Linked DNA regions of Diceros bicornis minor. The protein of the gene in region 1 purifies or fractionates together with the protein of each later gene. This does not show direct contact. Links are inferred from orthologs where the notes say so. Each region holds a gene or a part of one and is shown in the gene's direction. Other genes may lie near its edges.

Region 1 (7,476 bases):
TTAGGCCTTCGGATGTTTTTGTAGATTTCTTGGCGTTCTCTGTGTAGGTAATCACGTCATCTGCAAATAGGGACAGTTCTGTTTTTCCTTTCCAGCACTGTATTGAATCTCAGTGGTGTGAGCAGAATCCTTGCCTGTTTCTGATCTTAGAGGAAAAGCATTCAGTTCCATCAAGCATAACGCTATCTGCAGGTATTGTAGGTGCTCTTTACTAAGTGAAGGAAGTCTCCCTCTTTTTTTTTTTTCTGAGAGTTTTTATCCTGAATGGGTGTTAAAATTTTGTCAAATGCTTTTTCTGCGTCGATTGATATAGTCATGTGAGTTTTCTTCTGTAATCTGTTAATATGGCAGATAACACTGATTGATTTTCAAACATTGAACCAGTCTTGCATCTCTGGAATCTCTTATTTGGTCAGGGTACACAATTATTTTTACATATTGCATAACCGTATTTGCTAATAGTTTTGTTAAGGATTTTTGCGTCTATATTCATCAGTGATATTTGTCTGCCTTTTTCTTTTTTTATAGTGGCATTGTTCGGTTTAGTATCAAGGTTATAGCAGCTTCATAAAATGAATTGGCACGTGTACTCTCTTCTATTTTCTGGAGGAGATTATGTAGAATTGGTGTAGAATTGTGTGGAAATATTTGACAGAATTCTCCATTGAAACCATCTGGGGCTAGAGATTTCTTTTGGGGAGTTTTTTGGTTATGATTTAATTTCCTAAATAGTTATAGCGTTATTCAAGTTATCTATTTCATATTGTCTGAGTTACTTTAGCTTATATTTTTCAAGGAAGTGAAATGTGTTTAAACCTTACTTATCTTTTTTATTAAGAGCATAGTTAATGTTTTGGTTTAATTGGAATCCCCTTACATGGCAAATGACCTATGTAGGAGAATTCTGAGCAAGATACAGACAAGATGTGATCATTGGTATTTAGTGTTGGAAATTCCCATTCTTAGATACTCACAATCTCAATACTGTTTTATTGTTGTTATGTAGTAACCAGATTTTATTCTCCTAGGCTTTCACAAAATAAAATGAGTATGTGATGAAGAGAGGCTCAGCATTCCTACTTTTTCCTTGATAAACTTAAGTCCTTTTTGTTACCATTCAAGGTGAAAATGCTGAGAGAGTCCTGGCTCTGTGACATCTTTTGTCCTTTGGCAACATCTCTTTGTTCCACTCTATTCAGCACAGCACATGCTGTTCTAGCACGCTAAATCTAACAGAGGGAATTTCAGGCATAAATACCTATTTGCATATTTGAGATAGAACACTAACGTGGTTTTATATTGTAGCATTTTATTTCTGGGAACGTGGTTAAAGCAGTAATTTCTTTTAGAGTTTCCTTGACACTATTTCCTTTATCCTCCTACTTATTAAAAAACCATTAGCTTACTCTTCCTCCAACTAGACTCTGACCCTTAGTCTTACGATTCTTCAGGATTGGAATACCCAACACTTGAACACAGGGCTCATTATATTTCAGGCACTGTATTAAACACCCTCCATGCACCATCTCATTTAATTCTTATGACATCATTATAAGATTACCCCAATATAAAGTTAGGATAATATAATAATAAAAAGATGAGAAAATTGATTTCAAAGAAGTTAGATAACTTGCCTACATTCACACAGTTACTAAGTTCTTGAGCCTGCACTGGAATCTAGGCTTGACTGACTCCCCAGCCTACTCTCTTGCCACTACACTAATCCTATATTATACTATCAATTCCAGAAGTAGCTATTAGTTTTAGCCTATTAGTCTTTAAGAGAAATGAGCCTTCGTGATTTGGCCACCATATAAAGACTACTGTCTGTCTGACTAACTCAGCTAATGTCCCTATAGCTCAGTTTCCAGGCATCCTATCTTTTCTGTAGCTCCCCTCTCCTCTTCCTCACTGCTCCTAGACTCTGCTCAAAATCTGTTTCTTTGTCCCTGACGTTAGATTCGTGGATTCAAACATTCTGTCTCCTCTTTGTCCTTTTTTCTAATTATCTTTCCTCTACAATTTTCCCCAGCAAGATTCTAATACAGCTTTCCCATGCTCACATGAGAAACTCACAGTATAAATGCACATGTTAAAGTACAATTGCCATTTTGGAGATAATTTAATTTATTGCTTTTCTTGCTATTTATTGCTTTCCTTAAATAGTTGTCAGAATTAAGACCCTTCCATTTATATACTTAAGTATATTTTTAGGGTTTCCAAACCAGGACCCAAGATATTTATGTATCACTATGGAGTGAAGAAATAGTCTGAATACCAAATAAATGTTATGTTCTTTCTACTTAACAATGTCAATATTAAATAAATATTTATTCAATAAGTATTTATTGACTGTCTATACATCAGGTCCCACCCTAGATACTACCATTTTTATCCTTCCACACAATTTTTTTTGGTGAGAAAACATTTTTAATATTAAAAATAAGTCTTCTCAATATAATAATATACAGATTTATTTTAGTAATATAAAAACACACAGACAAGCAAAAAAGAATTAGGAAATATACAGCAACAACACTTTCAGAACTTTATTATCCTTCCAAACTTTTATCTATATTTTTGAACTGTTAAAACGTTTTTCAGTTAAACATTTTTTTAACTGAAACTTTAACATTCAGTTAAAGTTTTTTTCAGAATAAATGTTCTTCTACATTAATGGTTGTTAAAGGTTAATAATAGTTCATTTTGTGGGTATACAATAGTTCTAGAATCATACTTTTCAATATTGGACTTAGCCTATTGCTAGTTTTTTGCAATTACTAGCAAAGACTATGATGAACATCATTGTAGGTATTTTTCTTTTCACATATCCTTAGCATTTCTAACGGGTTGGGGGATTATTTTTCCAGATCTCAATTAAAGAATTATCATTCTATTAGGTAAAAGTTTGCAGGCTATATATTCAAAGGAGATCTCTTCTGTTTGAAATTCAACATAATCAACCAGTTAGCTCAAACCGTTAACTCTTGAAAAATGTGCCTGCTTTATTCAATAAACACTGATAGAATACTGGACATGGAGATACAAAGATAAATAAGCGCCTGTACAGGGCAGACAAAAATTTAGTGTAGTATGCAGATTTGTCATTAAATAGAATATATGAACATTAGCAAAAGAAACCTCAACTAAAGTTGGAGTTGGGAAGGCCTGTAGAGAGAGCACCAGTGCCCTACTACTCTTCCTCAATTACCCCAAACAGGAAGAGACTACCTTACATCTCCAACAGAAAGTTGCCTACTACCTTACTTCTCTAGGAGGAGGAAAGATTTTCTTCTTGCCCAGCAACAAGCCCCACCGATGGAAAACACTGCAGCTCGGCCAATGAGGAGCTCTGCTACTCTGAACTTTTACTCTCCTCCAAGGAACTTTCATTTAAGGAACTTTCATTTAGAACTGTCCCAACACTCCTTTTTCTGTATAACAGCAAGCTCCCTTCCTTTGTTCTTCAGCCTTGCCTATGGTGCACATGTCCAAATTGCAATTCCTTTGCTATTCCCAAATAAACTCATTTTGCTGGTAAAATAATTGGCAATTTTATTTTAAAGTTGACAGATACAACGTGCTTAAATTCTGTGGTAGATGGATGCACAAGACCCTTAGGCTACGTTGAAGATAACCTAAGGCAGTGTACAAAATAATTAGTGGTGATTACCTTTAACAAGGAGAAGGATGTGCATTTTTATTTAATATTTGGTGATCGAGGATAAATTACAACTCACCGCCACTCTTCCTTATCTATTGATTTCTCATATGGTAGAGTGAACATAATTTGCTTACTTTTACCACGTAAATTCAGAGGAACTATTGTTTCTGTACCTAAGGGAAGTAGAAGAAATTTAGAAATGACTGATAAAAACAAAACAAAACAAAATCACCCTAATGGGCCCTTTTCTTTAGACAACACAAACGTGAGACGTCACTTGGGATAACTATAATATCGTCAACGCTGTGGCGTCACGCCTATAAGCCGAGGCGATCGAAGTGCTAAGGCCACCACAGGCCTCCGTTTCAGTAAGCGTCGCAAAACCTGGGCAAGTTTTCCACGAGTCCGCCGAACCAGCCAAGCCAAGAACACACGGCCGCCGAGGACAGCCAGCCGTTATCAACGCATGTAAGACTGGGCTCGCGTCACGCCAGGGAGCCGACGCACAGACTTGCGTCTCCGAGCTCTTCCTCGAGGCCCCGCCCACTCCTCGCCCTAGAGCCCGCTGGGGGCCCTGAAGGGGGCGTGGCTAGGGTGAGGAGAGGAGAATGCGCATGCGCACTCGGTACTCAGTCAATTAGCCAACTATCAATCTCGCGAGGGTTGAAAGTCGGTGGCGTAGGTAGTTGTCTGGGATGCTGGCGAGATAGATGCTATCTACGAGGAAGAAGCGGAGGGGGCGAAACTAGTTCCTCGCCTCGGTCTCTCTTTCGCTTTCCCTTCCTCTTCCTCCAACCCTCCGCCCTCCTGTAATTCAGCCCGCCTTCCCTGACCTCAGTGACCCGGGTGGCCCCGCCCACTCTCGTCGACGTGATTCCCGCCGTGAGGTAAGCGCCGGTCGAACCCCGAGCCCCGCGGAAGAGGAGGACGACGAGAGGAGGAGGCTGCTGGGCCCGGCTCAGGCTCGGCGCGGAGCCGCGGCGCGGGGGGCGTTCGGGTGGTCCTCTCGTTCCTCTGTCCGCTCATTGCGACGTAGCCGGCCAGGCCTAGGCCTCCTCCTCCTCCCTGCCGGCCCGGCCTCTGGCAGCATCGGGTGACGCAGAAGGAACATCATGTCGTCCGCGGCCGAGCCTCCGCCACCCCCGCCTCCCGAGAGCGCGCGTTCCAAGCCCGCAGCCTCGGCCGCCAGCAGCGGGAGCAACACCAGCAACAAAGGCGGCCCCGAGGGCATCGCGGCCCAGGTGGCTTCCTGTGCGGCCAGCGCCGGCCCCGCGGACTCCGAGATGGAGGTGAGGGCGGCTTGTGGCCTGGGGAGAGGGCGCCGTGGTGAGGAGGAGCTGGTTCCCTCGCCTGGATTTTAGTGATCGGACGCAGAGCTGTGCGTAGCCTCTCTGCACCCAAACTCGGCCTCAAACTCTTTGGATCCGAAATGATGCTCTCACCCTTGCGCCCTTGTGTTTAACCTACCCAACGAGGCTGAAATGGATTTCTGCACTTCCCATTTTACATTGTCTCTGGAGCGAATCTTGCCAAATCCTTGAACTCTCTTATTAAACAGATGTTCTTGATTACCGAGGCCAAGAGGGACTTACCCGGGTTTTTTAATTTTTTTCCTCTAGACTCCTGTAATTCTCTCTCTCGTCTCTGAATCTAGGTTTTAGTTTCCACTAAACTTGGGGGAAGGGCGAGGGAGCTGCCCCTTAGGAGTGAGGGATAGACGGGCGGGGTGGGGAAGGCATTTAAAAGCAGCGCATCCGAGGACTTGGGCCTGCTTTTCTTCGTCCCGGTCCCTGCGGGGGCGGTATCTGTTCTGGGCAGAAACAATGGCGAGAGCTGGATGGCCGAGTGCGCAGTGGGGATAAGCGGGGCGCAGCTGCTCCTGTGAAGGGAGAGGAGGCCCCTCCCAGGCACTGTTCCTTAGGGAGGGAAGCGACCAAGGCAGCAGCAGCTGTTTTGGACCCCCCTCTCATTTAGGGGGAGGGAATGGATGGGTGGATGAATGAATTAGTGAGCCAAGGGCGGTTAGTTGGCTTTCAGTGCGGCGCAATTCCTCTTTTTGGGCCTTGGCCTTTTTTTTGAAAATTGGTCCCGCTCGCTGCCGACCCTGCCTTTTGGCTAGGGTTGGCCGGGGAATGGTGACAGTATGCGGGGGTGGAAAGATTGGGGAGCGGCCAGGCGGGTCTCTTGGGTGTGCTCCAAGGCTTTGCGATGTCTGGGAACAAAGTGATTGCTTGCTCCTTCCAAATTTCATTCTTGGCCTTCGATCTGTTTTGAGATATTTTATAGTCGCAGCCCAAGGCTTTTTGGGATTTTTCCATCCTTAGATAGACGGAATGGAGGTAATACTGCTCTAAAAATGAATCTTGATGCAGAATTAACACAATAAGGAAATGGAAGCGCAGGTTACCATTGAAATACTTGGTTCAGTATTTTTATTTGGGCACCAAAGGTCTAATCCAGGGTAAAGTAACATTATTTTGTTAGTTTTTCAAAGAACTTTTAGCGATGAGGGTAGGTTTTAGTGAAGTAGGACATCTGATATTCTGTAGTTTTCAGTGATTTGAGATTGGTTTCCATTTCCTATCTAGTGTTGCCTGTTTCTTTTACTCAAGGTTTTAAATAGTTCTTTTGGATTATCAGGGCTTTTTAACCTGGTCCTACTCCATGGCTTAAGGGGGTTTGAAAATCTGTGACGCTGAAAGCAGTTGTGTTTAAATGCACAATTGTTTACAAAGTGGTATCCAGAGTTTTCATTAGCCTCTCAAAAGAGTCTGTCATTTAAATTTTAGAATAATAATCGATGTCTCACTAGAGATGTTATTTAAATGTCAGAAAGCAGAGTAATTTAAAGCCTAAACTATTTTGGCTTTCAGTTGCTATCTTTAAATTAAAGTGGAATTAGAGTTTAAGTATTACTATTGATGTGATAATAAGTACCAAATGAAGTCAGTGGTATTTTTAGTATTTGCCAGATGAGGAAACTGAGTCTTCTGATAAGTAGAACCTGTGATAGAACCCATGTTTGCTCTGAAACTGACCCTTTTCCCACATATCTTGCCTTATCATGTTCTTACAAAGGAGATATTTGACAATGTCATTTATTAAAGAATGACTTACTTTTACCTTGTCAGAATAGGCGTTACAGTAATTTTATCTTTTATCAATCTCTTTTTCACTGACTAATTTTAGTTGTGATTTTTTTCTTTTCACATTATAGTGTGATTTTTTTTTTTGGTCTTTTAAAATAAATGTCACTTGTCTGCTTTTTTCCCTCAACTGAATTCAGAAGTCATTGAGTAAAATCAATGGTAAAAACTAGGTTTGAGTATACATGCATGATATATCTGGCAATCTGTTCACAGTTGAAAAACATATTTTAAAATGCCATTTTCTTTTTGAAAGTAGAATTTAAGGTGGGTTTTCCCCAAATCAGAAAATAAATGAAATCTTTCATTTATGATTTTTTTCTGACAAAGCTGACCTTCCCAGAAATATTAGCTACCTTTCCTATGTATTCAGTTAGTTTTTCCTTTTTGCTTGGTACTGATAGATCAAGGAAACAATCTCATTTTTTGTTTATTATCATCTTTTGGCAGTGTGGATGGAGCCTGTCTTTGTTCTTCTCAGCTCTCACTATTGACTAGACTGATAGATAGGCACTCTGTATGCCAATAATCATATGACCTCAGGAGTCTTGGAATCCAAATCTTTTTTTTTCCCCCCAACTATGGAAGGAATGATGATTACTGTTGGAAAGCACATTTTATTTTTTTGGAGTGTATTTGACCTTTCATGGTCTTCCGGTAGGCTAG
Region 2 (8,059 bases), on another chromosome or scaffold:
TAGGGAAATAGGACATTATTTATATATTAGGGAAATTAGCCCTTTCACAGTGAGTTGCAAATAATTTTTTCCCAGTTTGATATTTGTCTTCCAACTTGGCTTGTAGCTTTTGTCATGGAGAAATTTTTAATTTTTATTTTATAGAATTATCTCTATGGGTTCCGGGCTTTGTGTTATACTTAAGCTTTCCTCACTCTGAGATAATTTTTTAAATTCTTCCTGGTTTCCTCTAGTGCTTTTATGATTTACAAACATTCTTAATTATTACAAGTTCTAAATGGTATAGTGCATACGATCGAGTTCCTTGTTTCAATTTATGTCAGAGTTAGATTAGCAAATCAGTCCCATGGAAATATAGACTAGTAGTAAGGAGTTGGACACTGGAGTCAATAATTTGGGCTTTTCTGCCTCTGGGCTGTATGACCTTGGGCATGCTACTTAATTAACCTCTCTGCGCCTCAACAGCTTCATCTGTAAAATGGAAATGATAAATAGTACTTTGTTGTGAGAATTGCATGAGATGATTCATTTAAAGCCGTTAGCACAATGCTTGACAAGCTGGAAGCATTCATTAAGTGTAAACTATTACTGTGATAATAATGATGGCCATAGACTATTCTTTCAACTCCTACTACCATCACATAATTCATGACTTTAATCACAACGGGTTGAATAAAAAAATGCATTCCAAATTTGCTAACATTACCACTTCAGCATTAAGCATCCAATCTCCTCTAAGCATAGTAGTTCTCAAACTTCACAGTACATTAGTATCACCTGAGCAGATTTTTAAACTCCAAGTTCCTGGGTCCCCAGCGATTGTTTTAATTGGTCTAGGGTATGGCCCAGGCATCAGTACTTTTCAAAAACCCCTCTGGTGATTTCAATGGGCAGCTAAGGTCTAGAACCACTATCCCAACACTAGGCCAGTGGTTTCAGCTATGAAGGGAAACATATTCATTGCTTCTAAAGAACAATATATAGAAATTTTTTATAGGTAAAATGCCATGAATTCATCAGGAAGACTTTAAAAACAGAACATAGAAGAGTTGAGACAGGTGTCAGAGATATTGAGGAAAGGAGTTATAAAGTTGATGTTCCTTGTATATATTTAGAAGACTTTCTCAGAAGAGTTCAGGGTAGCTATACTCTAAACACTTTTACAACTGCTACTTAGAGGTAAGGGACATGAAGTGTTTATATTTGTTAGATGTATTAACTGAAGCACGGAGACAGGACTCGTCAGCTGTTCAATTAGACAAATTTAAGATTCTTATTACCCCCATCGCTTTCCTGGATAATTCTCAAAAATAACTATTATTTCTGATCATGAGTAATATATCTTATCCCCTTATGCATTTTAACAGTTTAGGAAGGATTTGGAATGGTATTTTGGCTTATTTATGGATACAGTGTAAGTAGGTTATATAAGAAAATTAGATGTTATCGAATCCCAGGAAAGAGCAGTGTGGTCTGAAGAGACTGGACAAGGAGTCAGGAGGCCAAGATTCCAGTTCCTGAGCTTCAGTTTCCTTAGCTGCAAATGAGAGAATTGAGTTCCCAAAGGTTTCCTTCAGCTCTAAGTAATTACTGCCTCACCAAACCACCTAAGTAAAGCCTTTCTTAATCAGTCAATAGAAGACAGGAAAAGTATTCTAGCTCAAGCTTTTAAAATACATATTCATAGTCTTGTTTTGTCTTTACCTATCGAAGGCAGTATACCTTCTTAAATATTAAACTATGTCTTGATGATATTAGATTAATATATGTCCTGCCTAACTGGTTTATTTACATTTTACATTTAAGTGGGGGCCATTGGTATCTTCACCCAGAGGGGTGACTAATGGAGGGTGGGGGTTGCATCTTGAGACTGGCAAGGATATATGGGAACATGAGCTTTCTGTTGCCCTTCAAATCATGCCCCGTGGCTGACTTCATTTAGGTCTGATCCTGAGTCCCCCTTCTACATTTTCTTCTAATCTTTTCTATTTCTCTTTTTGCATTATGTTACTCATGATCATTAGGACTCACACAATTCTTGTATTGGTGATCTGTCTTGATGTCATCTCTTCTCTACAAGATGGTACATTTTTTGAGTCCAGGATACATTTACATTGTATCCCTTACATGAGCTACTACAGTGTCTTGGCACATAAAAGGAGCCTGATAAATGTTTAATTGAATTAAATTGTTAAAAAATTCAATGATTTCAATTTCATTGTTTTCTCTATTTTTTTCCTGTGATACTTTAACTTCCATAGTTTCCTTTACAATATAGCCAGTTTTTTTTACACAAAGTTCTATTTCATGACATTTCCTTTAAATACTTTCTGAATACAGCAATGAACTTTTCACTCTCAAATATCTAGAAGTAGTAATAAAGCAAGAAAGTAATCATGATACGAAAATATGGAATAATACATTAGGTAAGCTTTTTGTAGTAAATATGTAGGATAACTTTAAGAGAAGTGTTATTTTGAGGTAGCTTAGGCATGCTATCAATTTGATCAAGTATTATAAACACATCAAAACTAAACTTTTTAATATGTCAACTATAATTTACTAAACTTAACGTTATTCTGAATTAACAATGAACAACTATGTATAACTTTTATTAAATATCACAAATCATTAAAATAAATCCTATGTATGTAACTCAGAGAACTGAGTTATGATAGCAAAATTTGAGTATGGTAGTAGGGAAATTGAGTATGATAGTGTTTTGATGAAGCAGAATAAAATTTCAATTTTAAGTTAGTATAAAAAAGGATCCAATTGTTTAAAATTTTGTATTTAATAAAAGTAAAATTAACATTACTATTTTTGATCGTGATTTTAACAAAATTATTTTAACAGCTTATCAAACAGTGAGAGTTAAGAAATATAAATGCTATATATTCAGAGAAATCTCATCTGTTTTTAGCTTAACAGTTAAGTCAGCATTTTGAATCGTGAGAGTGATGCTTCAATGTCAGTTGAAAATTATCCATCCTCCTTGTCCCCCTTTCTGAATTTGCCTTCGTGGGGTCTAAATTTTTCACCTGGAAAATTACATACTTTCTAGGTAGGGAATTCTAAATTGTCATTTGGTGTACTAGTTGGAGGCCAGTGTAAAACACCAAATCTTTGAATGCATCATTTTTTGAAGAGTTTATCCAGGCTAAAGAATATACTTGCTACTGAGGGCATCTCGAAGCCTCTGTGACTTCTATATTCATACAGTGAGGTGTATTAATTTTATGAATGATTTTTAAAACTCAAAGCATATAGTGCCTTTCACAAAATTGTATTTTTGCAAGCCACCCTAAAAGTATCTTGAAAGAAGTTAAAAAATGATAACTCTTGAGATTTGGATTCCTTACATTTTCTGCTCCAATGTACATACATACTTTGGAGTATTTGAAGATGTAAAGATGATCCCACATTGTTTCTATCACAGTATTGGTAATTAGTTATGTTCTTTGTTGAATGACTGTTCTTCAACCTTACTTTGAGATTCATTCTTACACGTTAATCTGCAAACAAGTAAATGTCAAGGGCAGTAACAAAAAAGATCCTTTTTAAAAAGCTGGCAAACATTTGGAGTTATTCGTAGTTTTGAAAATTCTTTTTAATTCAAAAGTCACATGTATTATGTACATTAAAATTAGTTTCATAAATGGAAATTATAGATATGGGAAAGTTTCTTTAGGGGAAATTTCACTTGTAAATCCATAATCTTTAAAATTCTGAGTGATTGAATTAAATATTGATCCTTTGCAAAATATTTTCAGCGGTGTATTCTAAATATTACTTGTTAAAGGCGTGTTTTTTAAATATGTGAGGGTCCTACAGGCATGATGACATTTTCTAATATATACTTTTTTGGTCTCTTCCTCTGCTGAGTTTTTAACCGAATTGCTCTAAGTATTAAAGAGAACTGCTGTCAAGAAAGGTATTTTCTTTTCAAAATGGATGTTTACACAAGCGAAATATATTTTTAGACACGAGAATTCAAATTTGGAAGAAGAAAATATCAAAATACTTTTTATTTCTTATTCCTCCTCCCATCTTTAAAATACAGTTAAATTTTAATCGGACTCCTTTTCCCATCGTGTAACCAACCTAGCGATGGTGCCAGACTTGAAGAGGACGGCTTTACTTTGTTCGACTTGTGTTTACGAAACCCCAGCGCTTTCCCTAGATCTTTTGGCTGATAATCTCAAACATGGAGGATGCTTCTGATTCTTCACAAGGGGTTGCTCCATTAATTAATAATGTAGCTCTCCCAGGCTCTCCGCCGTCTCTTCCTGTATCAGTGACAGGCTGTAAAAGTCATCGAGTAGCCAATAAAAAGGTAGAAGCGAGAAGTGAAAAGCTCCTCCCAACAGCTCTTCCTCCTTCTGAGCCGAAAGTAGATCAGAAACTTCCCAGGAGCTCCGAGAGGCGGGGAAGCGGCGGTGGGACGCGATCCCCCGCGCGGAGCCAGGCCGTGGCAGCGGGCGGCGCGGCGGCGGGCGACGCGGCGGGGCCGGCGAGCGGCGACCCCCCGGGAGGACAGAGCCTCCCCTCGCTGCCTTTGTGGCTGGGAAGGTGAAGAGGTGGCCGTCGGCGTGCTCGCAGGTGAAGGGCTCCGTGTGGCCGCTCGGGCGCCGGCCAGCGCCGGCGGGGAAGTGGAGGCGAGCGGGGGAACAAAGCGGAGCGGCGCCGGGGGCCGCCGGCAGCCGGCTCCCTCGCGGCGTCGGGCGGGCCGGCTGCGCGCCGAGCACGTTGTGAGCCCGGCGGCGGCGGCGGCGGCGGCGGGCAGGGAGCCGGCGCGGGGGGAGGGGGCCGCCGCGCTCCCGCACCGCCCGCTCGCGGCGGGGCGTTCGGCCCCATTGTGAGCCGGCGGCCGGGCGTGCGGAGGCGGCGGCGGCTCCGCTCGCTCAGTACCCCGGCAGCGACGGGGGCCACCTCGGCCCCGGTGGCAGCCGCGGCGCGTCTGTCACACAAAAGGCAGTGGAGCTTCCCCGGCGCGCGGACCGGCCGGCGCCGCCGAGCGCTCCCCACCTTACCGGCTGTCCTTTCCCTCCACTTCTGATAGGGGAGCGGCGCCGACGCGGCCGGGGTCCGGGAGAGCCCGCGGGCGGCCGGGAGATGCCGCTGCTCCACCGAAAGCCGTTTGTGAGACAGCAGCCGCCCGCCGACCTGCGGCCCGACGAGGAAGTTTTCTACTGTAAAGTCACCAACGAGATCTTCCGCCACTACGAGTAAGGGCCGGGCGGCGCGGGGGTGCGAGGGTGTGGGGGATCCCTCCCCAGCGGCCTTTTGTCTCTCTCCGGTCCTCGCCCCGGGCTTCTGGCGGGGCGACTTGAAAGTGACGGGTGGCCGCGGGCCCGCGCCTCTCCGTCCCCGGAGTCCGACGCGGTGGCTGCGCGGGGTCCCGGGGCGGCGCGCGGGGAGAGCGGCCGGGGCGGGGAAGGCTGGGGTCCCCGGCCGGCCGTGGGGACCGCCTCTCGCCGCGGCGGCCGCCCGGGCGGCGGAAACTCCCCGCCTCGCCCCTCCCCGCCGCGGCCACACGCGCGCTTCGGGGCCAGTTCCGGGATCCCCGCCCGGCGGCCGAGGGGATCCCCGCTCGGGTCAGCGGCTCGGGGCCGCCGTCCCCCGGCCCGGGGAGGGAATCCCCGCCCCCGGGGGCAGGAAACGGCCGGGCTGGGCGTCGCTCCTTCGGTGGAGTGGAGCCTGACGTGGGAGCTGCCTAGGGTCGGGGCGGGCGGGAGCGGAGGTGAGACTCGGGGAGGGCGGGAGGGAGCTGCCTGCGGGCGGGGGCGGTGGGGCCCGGGGCACGAGAGCCTCCGCCGGCGGCCTCCCGTCCGGTGCGGCTAGGCCGCGAGTGTGCGACGCGAGCCGTGCGCTCTGTCACCGCCTCTTCTTGGTGACTAACTCCCGGCCCCGGAGAACTCAGCGTCTCCGCCCCCGGGAGACCGGGTGAGGAAGAAGTCGGGGCTGGGCGGGGGAAGGGGGGGCGGAGAGCAGGGCCCCGGGCGCCCCTCGTTTTCACTTTCGCGAGCCCGGAGCGCGGCGGTGGGAGTTGGGGGAGGGGGTTAAGACAAGTTCAACTCCAGCCTCCGCCAGTCTCCTCTTTATCCCCCTGCGCATGTGGGCCGCCTGACATGTGCCACTCGCTATTGTTTTGATAAGAATCCGGAGCTGCTGCGTGTGTAGTTTCAACCCCTAAATTTTCAGTCCCTTGCCTGGTTTATCCCAAGAGATCTCCTTGTCCTGTGACACCAAACAACGGGGTGTTTCAGAGATCTGTGTTTAAACAGGATCTCCAAGTGAGAACCTGAATTGATCAATCACTGAAACAGCCTGATCCTCCCTTTTTCTTATGCTTTATCCTCTCCACTTAGAAGGAATCCCTTTGTGGCTTAGAAACCAAGTGTTATAGCAACCAAATAAATTGTGTTTGGAAGGCACCTTTTTGAATGGGGGCTTGATGGAGGGAGGGCTTTAGGCGAACTCTGCACCTGTCTGAGAAATGACTAGCGAAGTTAGAAAAGCCAGTTCCTTTGAGCTTTTATTTTAAGGAAGCCTTTTTTTCCAGCTCCACAGAAAGAGTTACACATAAACATGTTATATTTAGAGAAGTTTTTCAGCAGACAGTGCTTTTAAATAGGAGTGCACATCTTACTCTGCTCCTGTACAGACTTGTTTTGTTACTCAAGTAGGGTTCACTCTTGTAACTGCTTAAGTGAATTTGGATTAGGTAACTTGACAAGGATGATGTCTTTTTTTTTTTTAATTTAAGTTAAAATCCTTCGTAATAACTCTGATTTTTAAAAAATTGTATTTCGAGTGCCAACAAAGGAGGAAACATGCTTAAGTTTCAAAGTGTTTTCTCCTTTGATATAAGCAACCTTATCTTTTTAAGAGGCTATTCTCACTGTAGAGGAGAGAATGACTATGGCTGTTATCTTTTTTGAATTAAACATTTCATATACTTGGTTCTTGATGATTTACTGTAATCGTGGAGAAATCTGAAATGCCGAAACAAAGGAAGAGATTTTTGGTATTCCAAACCTACTACCTTCTATTAATATTAGGGAACTGTGTCGTTTGTAGTCTTATGATATTAAAAATTCTTTAAAAATAACTAGTTTTTTGTTGTTTTCTCTGTACTGAAGTGTTTGGGCTTTTGGAAATTAGAAACAGTTCAGGATAGGCAATTGGTTTGGGAGCAAAGATATTTAATCACTTACCCTGAACAAAGCAGAGCTCCTAGTGTCCTTAGGTCTTAATCTCTATGACTTTGAATTGGCAAAATTGGAAGAAGACTGACATTTAATTGTGTGTTAAGTTTGAGATTATTTTTTCTTTCTCTTAGATGATTACAAAGAGATCTTTCCAAAAGTGCATTCATGGTGGATGGTATATGGTGGTCTCTGCAGTATTATGGTAATCTGACCCTCAGCACAATTCTGGAGAAACTATGAAGGAAACTTCTGTTTTCACTCATTCACTAAATCACCAATTGGTTTATATGAATTTGTTTGAAGATTATCTTTTGAGTGCATTACTTCGAATATTCTTCTTTTGTATGTGTCTGAAGACCACTATGCCCACCTATTTGCTCAGGTTTTTGATTTTGTAAATAGACCTTTCTCTAATCAGTCTCAAAGAGATTTTCTACACCTCCCCGCCTTGTTCACTTCCCAGCACAGTGCAAAGTAACTTTTGCCTCTAACTCTGGTTGGTAGAGGTTGCCAGTGACCTTTTAATTGCTAAATAGTTTTCTGTCTTTATCTTACTTGGTATTATAGCCTAACACTTCCTCCTTCGTCTTTTTAGACAGCAGTGATCCCCCCCTCCATTTTATCTAGTGGAACATCTGCTGTTATTGCACTGTAATGCAGTGTATTTATTGCCTCACATTTTCTCTTTTCCTAGACCCTGAGTTCTTTGAGACAGAGACTGTGACCAGGATGGATCCTTAATGATTATATAGTGCAGGCTCCTTTATTTTGTATGTTTGAACTACATGCTCTTTAATTGCTAACACTTGTTTGACCTGCTTTCCATAAGAAAAGATTTATTAAAA
Region 3 (8,013 bases), on another chromosome or scaffold:
TACCTACTAAGTGAAGCAGGACTTCCTTTTATTTGTCCTAAATGTATCTGGATCGGGTTGCAAAGGAAGCTCCCTCCATCCTTGTATCTGGCCATCGAATGACCAAGGCAGTGTTGACCTTCCAGCTGCCGGTTACCCTCAGCCATCACCTTTTCATGCTGGTTTGTATGTCTTTCCACCATTGTGTCCTTCCACATCCCTATAGCTGTTCTCATCAGAGCCACACCCCCACCCCACCGTGCAAAATTGGTTTTGGGCCTTTGGGTCAGGAGCCCTGGAGGCCTGAGAGCAGCTACCTGGCTTCTTTCTTAAACCTGTGAGCAACTCCCTCATTCTTCTCCACCTTCACCCCTCAGCACTTAGCTTTCTGCTTGGTTACCCACTTGGCTCTCAGCCCCATCTCTGTGGCAGGACCAGCCACCCCTGACAAGCCTCGGGCCCATTCTCTTTCCAGCTGGCCTACCAAGGTCCGATACTTTCTCAGAACAGCCTAGTGGAGTTCTGTGCCCACCCCGCTGGGTGCCCCTCCTCCCCCCACTGACCCTGACCTATTGGAAGGGTACAGTAAAGACATTCACCTCAGAGAAGGGAATGATGCTATGGAATTTCAACCCCCTTCCCACCCCTGTGTATAGCTGAAGCCATTGGTATCTGCACCACTGATCACCCTGATGCCCGAGGGCTTGTGGACCATGGAGAAGGACGCGTTGATCAGCTACTCCTTGACCCCAGGCTTCCTCAGCAGCCCCTGGGACTGGATTGGACTGTATAAGGTGATGTGGCAGGCGAGGCAGGGAGTCCCTGAGCCACACCCCTCTGATTGATCCATCCTGAGGGCTCACGGGAACTGGGCACAGAGACTGAACTCACCCTTGTCCACCCCAGGGGTCCTTGCCCACCTAGAGGCTGGCAGTGAAGGAGAGAGAGGCATCCAATATGATGGCCAGCCCTAGGAATGAGACGACCCTCTCCTTCAGATTTGCCGTAGGTCCCACGTCCTCCATGACCACTGACCCCCCGACCCTCCCTCCCACAGGTGGGACTGCGCCACATTAATGACTACGTGTCCTATGTCTGGGTCGGGGACAACCAGATCTCCTTCAGCGTCGGGCTGAACCAGGTACCTGCCTCCCTTCCTGAGATAGGTATTCCACATTTCCAGCAGGTGGGCTTGCCCGAGCACTCCTGTCTTCTGGAAGGAATAGAGAGCTGGATAACTTGTCATTGAGAGCTGGGTGGGGCCCAGGACCATGGAGCTGACCCCATTCCTGTCCATCCCCCGCTCCAGGTATACATGGACATCAGCGATATCCCAGAGACTGAGGATCAGTTTCTCCTCTGTTACTATAGCAACAGTCTACATTCTGTGGTGGGGATAAGCAAACCCTTCAAGGTAGGAGATGCTGGTGGGGTCAGGGGAAGGGTATCACAGATGATGTGAGCCCATCATCAGTTCACCGAGGCCACAGGCCTAGGAGCCAGCCCACATGGTGGAGCCGCATCAGTTGGGGAATGGAGTGATGACACGGAGGAGAGCCTGCTCTTCTCCCTTCCGCTCACCACCTGCTTTATTCCTGCAGATCTGGCCTCGCTCGCTCTTTGGGGAGGATCTACTGGATGAAGCCCAACCACAGTTCTGAGCTGGGACGAGTGAATCCAGGGCGGAGGCCAGAGCTGGCAGCCAGCTCTGCCTACCACTGCCAGGAGCATTGGGGACCCAGCCCAGCCCTCTGAAGAGGGAGCAAGTATCCTCCACCTCCCAGGGGGAGCTCTAGCACACTCCTTTGCTCTCTCCAATCTAGATCTCTAGAATCAGCCTCTTAAATACAGGTTTTTGGTACTGAGATGTGAGTGAAACCAGCTAGTTTGTCAACAGTGAAGACTTGTGGACAGTCCACCAGATGTGGGAAAGACCCTCCAGCCTGCATCTCATTTTTTGATTTTCCCCCCACACACTTCTAGTCCTGCCCAAGCAGGCCTGCCAGGCACATGCCCCATCTGGCACAGGCCTGCATTCTTGTCACGCCATCCTGGGCCTCAGGCTGCCTGGGAGGGGGAGATACATTTGTACAGGCTCCATAGACTGGTTAGCACAAGCAGCACTGGGTTCCAGGAGTCTTGGCATTTTGTTGCCTGTCCCCCTGAGGGATGGGCAGAGGGTCTGGGATCCTTGCTTTCAGCAGAAGCAGTATGACTAAGTGGGCAGGATGAGGGGTCCCTCCACCCAGGCTCTTTGGTAGGGTTGTGGACAGGTTGATGAGCGTCCTTCTGCCAGCACCCCCTCGCCCCCATGGAGTATGAACCAGAAAGTTCCAGGGCCTGAACAGAGAATTGGACCCAGGTTCACTTCTGCTGGTGGGTCAGGCTCCATGCCCCCAACCTGCCCTCTTGTGAAGGGTTGGCCAGGTGGTAGAGGAGCTGTGGCCACAGGCTTTTCCAAGATAGTCCTTGCCCAGCTGAGCTCATCTGCCTGTACCCTTGCCTGCAGTCATTGGCCAGAAACCTATCTAGACTGCTCTGGGACCTAGAGGTGGGGGCAGGCAGAGAGGAGAGCCAGAATCAAGACATTTTGGAGAATCTGGCACTGGGGGTCTTCAGAGAGCATTCTCCAGGTGCTGCGTGGACAAGGTCTGTCCCCACTCCCACCACTTGCCTCCAGCCACTGGTGACTCAACAGCCCTTCTCGCAGGAGAAGACACCTCAGGGAGCCCGCTCTGTGACTGTCATGCCCATCCTATGATCTGAGACAGGGCCACTCCAGTTGCTGTACGTTCCATACTCCACCCTGGGAGCTGTGGGTACCATCTAGAACTGTCCCCTTGGCTTTAGAGGGCCGTGGCTGTCTGTGTTCTGTGTCTGTTGCATTGGGGCATAATTAGAAACATGGCTTTTACACTTGTTTGTGACTCCTTCATGATGGTGGTGGGAGGGGGCACATGGTGATGGGCCGTTGCTAGACTCTAGGACGAGGGCCCTGTAGATCCAGACTAGACTTTCTGTGTCTGCGAGTGACAGATGTTGCCTGGGTAGGAATGAGATGAGGTTCTGGGATGGTGGCCCTCTGGGTCCCTGGCCCAGTTGGGGCATGCTACCTATGCTGTTGGGCACTTAGTTTATTCCATTGCTAAATAGAATGGGTTTCTTGGAACTCAGAAAAGGTGCTTACTCTGCTCTCACTGGTCCATCCCTCCTTACCTGTCACTCTCTCACACCTTAGTCTTGACCACTGGTCCTGGGTTAAGCTATCCAAAAATGTCACCATCTTTTCTCTCTGTGCCGCCTCTCCCCAGATCCCCATACCCCGAGGTTCCCATTGTAATCTCTCTCCCTGTCCCCAACACACACACACCTGAGGAACCCTGAGCCCTCGCACTTGCCCACCTCATTCCTTCTCACGTGCACAACCATTTGTTTGGCAGATGGGGAAACCAAATCTCAGAGAAGTGGCATGAGCCCTCTGGAGTTACACAGGCAGCTGTGGTGTTACGCAGGACCAGAAACAGGACTGGGGTCAAGACCTAGGTTTGAATCAGTTCCATCTCTATCCACATAGGAGTCTCAGTTGTCTGTAAAGTACAAATAATGAACCTATTCACAAGATTATTGTGAGAGAACAATTGCAAAAAACACAGAGCAATCCTATACCTACCTCCTCATTCTGATTAATGTAGCCCTGGGCCTGGGTCTCAGGGCTTCTGACTCCAGGGCTCCCCCGTTTCTCCTGCTGTGGAGCATTTTTGTCCTCCACGTGCCCACCTCTCCCCTGCCCCCTTAAGTCTTCACAGACCCCTACCCCGCCTCCTGTTGCAGGGCGCTCCTTGCCTGGGAGGGGTGAGTGCAGCAGTGATTGAGAGGCGGAAGGGGAAGGGGGAGTGCTCTCCCTCCTCTCGGCCCCAGTCAGGATATGGCCGCTCTGGGCCCAGCCATGACCCGCTGGGTGGAAACAGGAAATATGTGAGACTCCGTGTGTGCTGGGTCTCTGCGCCTGGCTCCGAGGCTGATAAGGGCCATTGTGTGGCTGCCGGGGATGAGCCTGCCTTGGATAGATGTGCTTCCCGGAGGAAGGAAGGAAGCTTTGCTGGCCTTTCCTGGGCGGGGGAAGCTGTGGGGAGGAAAGGGAAGGGTGCCTGGGGGAAGATGCCTGCCCGAGGGGCTGTCAAGACCAGCAGAGGCCCACTGGCCTCTGCCCCTCCTATGCCAGTGTCTCCCTCTGGAAAGGTTGCTTTCCCTCATCCACTTCCCCCTTCTCACTTCCTATAAGGAATGGCTGGAGACTAGAGGGCTCAGTCCCAGGCCAGGAAAGTGTCAGCTGTGATTTAGCAACAATAAAGACAGAAAAACAGGAACATGCTGGTTAGGGGGCACATGAGGGTACTATGGAAAAGCAAGAAGCGAACAGAGCTAAGGCTGCCCACAGCCAAGGAACCCAGGGACCAACCTCCCAAGCGCTTGAGGCTCCAGAGGAGGGTGGGACAGGGGCTTCCTCAGAGTGTCCCCTGCCTCTCCAGCTAAACCCCTCTGCCCAACATGGCCATCCCCCACCAGCCCTAGCCTCTCAAACTCAAGGGGCTCACTTGCTGCTGTGGGAGGCAGGCAAGCTGGGGAGCATGCAGGAGGGGCAGTGCCTATTGATGGATCCTCTTGGCTTAGGGCAGGATGTGCGTTCTGGTTTGGGGAGTGGTCACTGTGCTCTCCAGCTTTCACCAGTGAGTGGGCAGCGAGAGAGGCCAGCCATGGAGCTGCTGGGGGGAAAAGCCTCCTACCCTTTGACCTGGAGCCCAGGGTCCCCCACGGTGGCTGCACTGCATCAGCTCCTCTGGTTACCTGGGACAACAGGCATTTCCTCCATCCCTCAGCCCCTCCTCTTCCTGCCCCAACCCACTGGGCCAAGAGGCCTCCCAATCAGACCTGGGCTGCTCCAGCTGTGTCCTGAGGAGCTGGACCAGACACATCCCCTGGGGCTGGAGTTGAAGCTGAACCAAGTGGCCATCCCGGCGTGAGACCAGATTCCTGGCTCCGGGAGCAGCCAGAGCCAGTGGGCAAGCAGGCAGGCAAGCTTTTGCTCAGAGGCCCCAGTGCTCTGCACGCTGGCTATCCACAGGCAGAATGGCGCTGCAAGTGGAGCTGATACCCACCGGGGAGATCATCCGCGTGGTTCATCCCCACAGACCCTGCAAGCTTGTAAGCTGGGATGCTCTGGGCTGGGAGGAAGGGTGGCAGTGTCTCCCCAGGGCCCAGTAGCCCCTCTTAAGCAAACCCCTCAGGAAAGTGGTGAGCAGTGGGGAGGGGTTCTGATCCTTGGTGGGACCGGAACAGATTGGACAAGAAGGGGTGAGGGTTTAAGCACCACTAGGGGCAGGGTTTTTCGAAGCAGGAATCTGAGTTTGAACCCCTTCTCCTCTGGTTCCCTGATCCTCAGGGGGCTATGAACTGGTGACAGGGCTGCTCTGAGATCAAAGGATCTATGCGCTCCAGGCGCATAGTACAGGCTCAGTTAATGTCTCGCCTTTCTCCGTCTGGCCCAAAGAACTGGGACTGGCCAACTCAGAGCAGTAGCGGGGTGGGGGTAGGGGGGAGTGAAGGGAGGTAGTCACAAAGGGACAAGAACTGACCCGGCCTGGCACGCAGGGGAGGGTCGGGTTTGCTCTGGGGATGCAAAGGGGCCCTAGAATGAGGAGGGAGAGAAAGCCATCAGATGCACCCACCCACCCAACACTGCAGCGAGTGGGCCGGGTCTTTGGCTGGAAGGGGGGTGCGCGCGCGTGTGTGTGTGACAGTGACGCGCCTCGTCCCAGGAGCTGGTTGCGGAGTGTGCGGCACCAAGTCTCCGCGGACGCGGGCCGGGGCCAGGGCCAGGGCCGCCAGGGCCGGGCGGGGCCGGAGGGAGCGCGCGCGCGCGCGCGCGCCGAGGCCTGGGCCCTGCCCGGGATGACGACAGGCAGCGGCCCGGCCCCGGGCGGGCCTTGGGCGGGGAGAGCGTGCCAGGGCCGAGCACTGGGGAGCCGGCCACGCCGCCCAGCCTGGCCCCCGCCCACGCACGCGAAGAACCGAGACGGTGGGTACACGGGGCCCGGGCGCCGGGCGGCCAGCAGCCGCGTGGCCCGTAGAGGCCTCCGCTGGCGGGTGGGATGGGGGCAACGGGCAGGCGGCCAGGCGCCGAGCTACCGTGCGGGAGGCGGGGGTCGCTGGGGCCGAGGGTCGGCTCGGCCCGGGCCGTACGTGGTCCCAGGACCCGCTGGCGCCGGAACTAGGCCGGGTAGAGACTTAGATTACTTGCGGGTAACGTGAGGGCGGGAAGGAGCAGCTGGGGTCCCGGGACCCAGGCACCCTGCGCGCCCTTTGGGCCCCTCCACCAGCCAGGCTCTGCCTCTGGGTTCCGCACAAGCTGCCCGAGCCCCGCCCCTTCCCCTTCTCCGCCCCCCGGACCCAGCCGCGCCAGTGGCTTCTGCGCGCCTCGGCGTGAGTGTGGTAGATGGGGGCCTCCGAGATGAATGAGAGAATGAATGGCTGGCCCAGGGCCTTATGCAACTCCCAGCGCGCTCCGGCCTCCTGCTCACACTCCCGGGCTCTGTGATTCATTCATTTATGCAGGCGTCTACGAGGGGTTATTGAGCCCCGACTGTGTGCCGGACTGGGTGTACGCTCCGGGCGGGAGCAGGCTACTGGGAGAGACCCACAAGAAAACCGGCGATTAGAGCGCAAAGCGATAAGGAGGGGGCTGTGTGTTGGGGATAGTCGGAAGGGGTTCTGGAGGAGGTGATACCTGAGCTGAGTCTTCAAGGATGACTAAGAGTCAGTCAGGTGGGGAGGAGGGAGGGTGCGCTGGGCCAAGGAAGTTGCAGGTGCAAAGGCAAGAAGCTTAGAGAGCCACATGTGGCTGGTGGCAGGGGTGGGAGCAGCTTCTCCTGGCTCTGTGTGGTGGTGAGGGAGGCATGGGGAGAGAAGGGACTGGAGAGGGCCACCCCTATGGTCACACAAGAATGCAGGAGCAGGGGGGTAAACTGAGGACAGAGGGGGCTGCTGGAGTCTATACTCAGGGGCCTGGCAAGAAGCAGTGGGTGTGAAGTACAGGCTCGGCACATGGGCTTGGCACATGGACCGGTGCCCTATAAACCTTCACTCTATTAACATGAGATGTTAATTGATTGATTTGCATTTGTAAATACCACAGGCTGCTGTGGGGAAATGGATTGGAGGAGGAAGGCAGGGAGGCCAGTTTGGAGGCTGCTGCCCGGTCAGGAGTGGAGCAGTGATGGAGGAGCAGGGGGTGGGGGGTTTGGCGAGTGTTGACTCTTGGTGTGAGGAGTGGAGGGACAGGACAGGCCTTTTGAGGTCAGGTGGTGATGACTAGCTGGAGGTGCCTCCCTTCTCTCTACCTACAGGATATTAAACAAGAAGGATAGGGGGCAAGGTGCTCTGTTTACTTCTGCTGGACCCCCAGGCAGAAGTGTCTAGCAGGCCAAAGGCCCATGGCTCCGAAGCTAGAGTGTACAGCCCCTGACTGGGGTCCTGTGAGCAATTAGGTAGAGCCCCTAAGGCCCCACTTTTCCTCCCCATTGCCCCTCACAACGGTTCCCTTGAGTCTAGAACAGTCCTTGGTGGGGCAGCCTGGGCCCAGACCTAAGATATATTCGACAAAGATAAATTGAGGACCTGTTCTGCACCCAGCACTGCGCTGCAGGTGAGAGAGGCTAGGGTTCTTTCCACTGCCCCAACAGGTCATGAGGCTGCCTCTGTGGAAATCAGCTTATAGCAGCGATCTGGGGGTCTTCAGAATACCCTCTCAAGGCCTGGGTGGCCCTGGGCTGGGGGAACATTTGAGGCTGCCCATTGCCCTCCCCTCTCCTCCAGAGGTCAGGCTTGGGTGCACCTGGCCCACACTAGGTAAAGGGCTCTGGATGACCCAGGTCTCCTGGGCCTGCCCCATCCCTGCCTTTGCTGGAAACATCTCCCTATGTGGGAGGAGACCCAGAGGCAGCCTTGGGAACTTAAGTCCTGGGTCACTCAGGGGCC

Evidence for each region. The genes of interacting proteins can lie anywhere in the genome.
Region 2: the proteins of SMARCA5 (region 1) and BAZ1A purify together in Homo sapiens (affinity purification with western blotting; 8 studies listed by BioGRID and IntAct, with this or other methods). This does not show direct contact. The link is inferred for Diceros bicornis minor from reciprocal best matches to the Homo sapiens genes SMARCA5 and BAZ1A.
Region 3: the proteins of SMARCA5 (region 1) and MYO1C purify together in Homo sapiens (affinity purification with western blotting; 3 studies listed by BioGRID, with this or other methods). This does not show direct contact. The link is inferred for Diceros bicornis minor from reciprocal best matches to the Homo sapiens genes SMARCA5 and MYO1C.

What each region holds. Positions count from the first base shown.
Region 1 is NC_080750.1:33,315,286-33,322,761, forward strand, and holds the start of SMARCA5 (SWI/SNF-related matrix-associated actin-dependent regulator of chromatin subfamily A member 5), read left to right. Parts: upstream 1-4,384; 5' UTR 4,385-4,776; coding exon 4,777-4,953; intron 4,954-7,476. UniProt on the Homo sapiens protein: ATPase that possesses intrinsic ATP-dependent nucleosome-remodeling activity.
Region 2 is NC_080744.1:14,467,193-14,475,251, forward strand, and holds the start of BAZ1A (bromodomain adjacent to zinc finger domain protein 1A), read left to right. Parts: upstream 1-4,974; 5' UTR 4,975-5,115; coding exon 5,116-5,228; intron 5,229-8,059. UniProt on the Homo sapiens protein: Regulatory subunit of the ATP-dependent ACF-1 and ACF-5 ISWI chromatin remodeling complexes, which form ordered nucleosome arrays on chromatin and slide edge- and center-positioned histone octamers away from their original location on the DNA template to facilitate access to DNA during DNA-templated processes such as DNA replication, transcription, and repair.
Region 3 is NC_080757.1:16,228,440-16,236,452, forward strand, and holds the start of MYO1C (unconventional myosin-Ic), read left to right. Parts: upstream 1-4,928; 5' UTR 4,929-5,106; coding exon 5,107-5,181; intron 5,182-5,966; exon of another isoform or gene 5,967-6,055; intron 6,056-8,013. Other genes in the region: INPP5K (inositol polyphosphate 5-phosphatase K), read left to right, coding at 636-773, 1,037-1,120, 1,289-1,393, 1,581-1,640.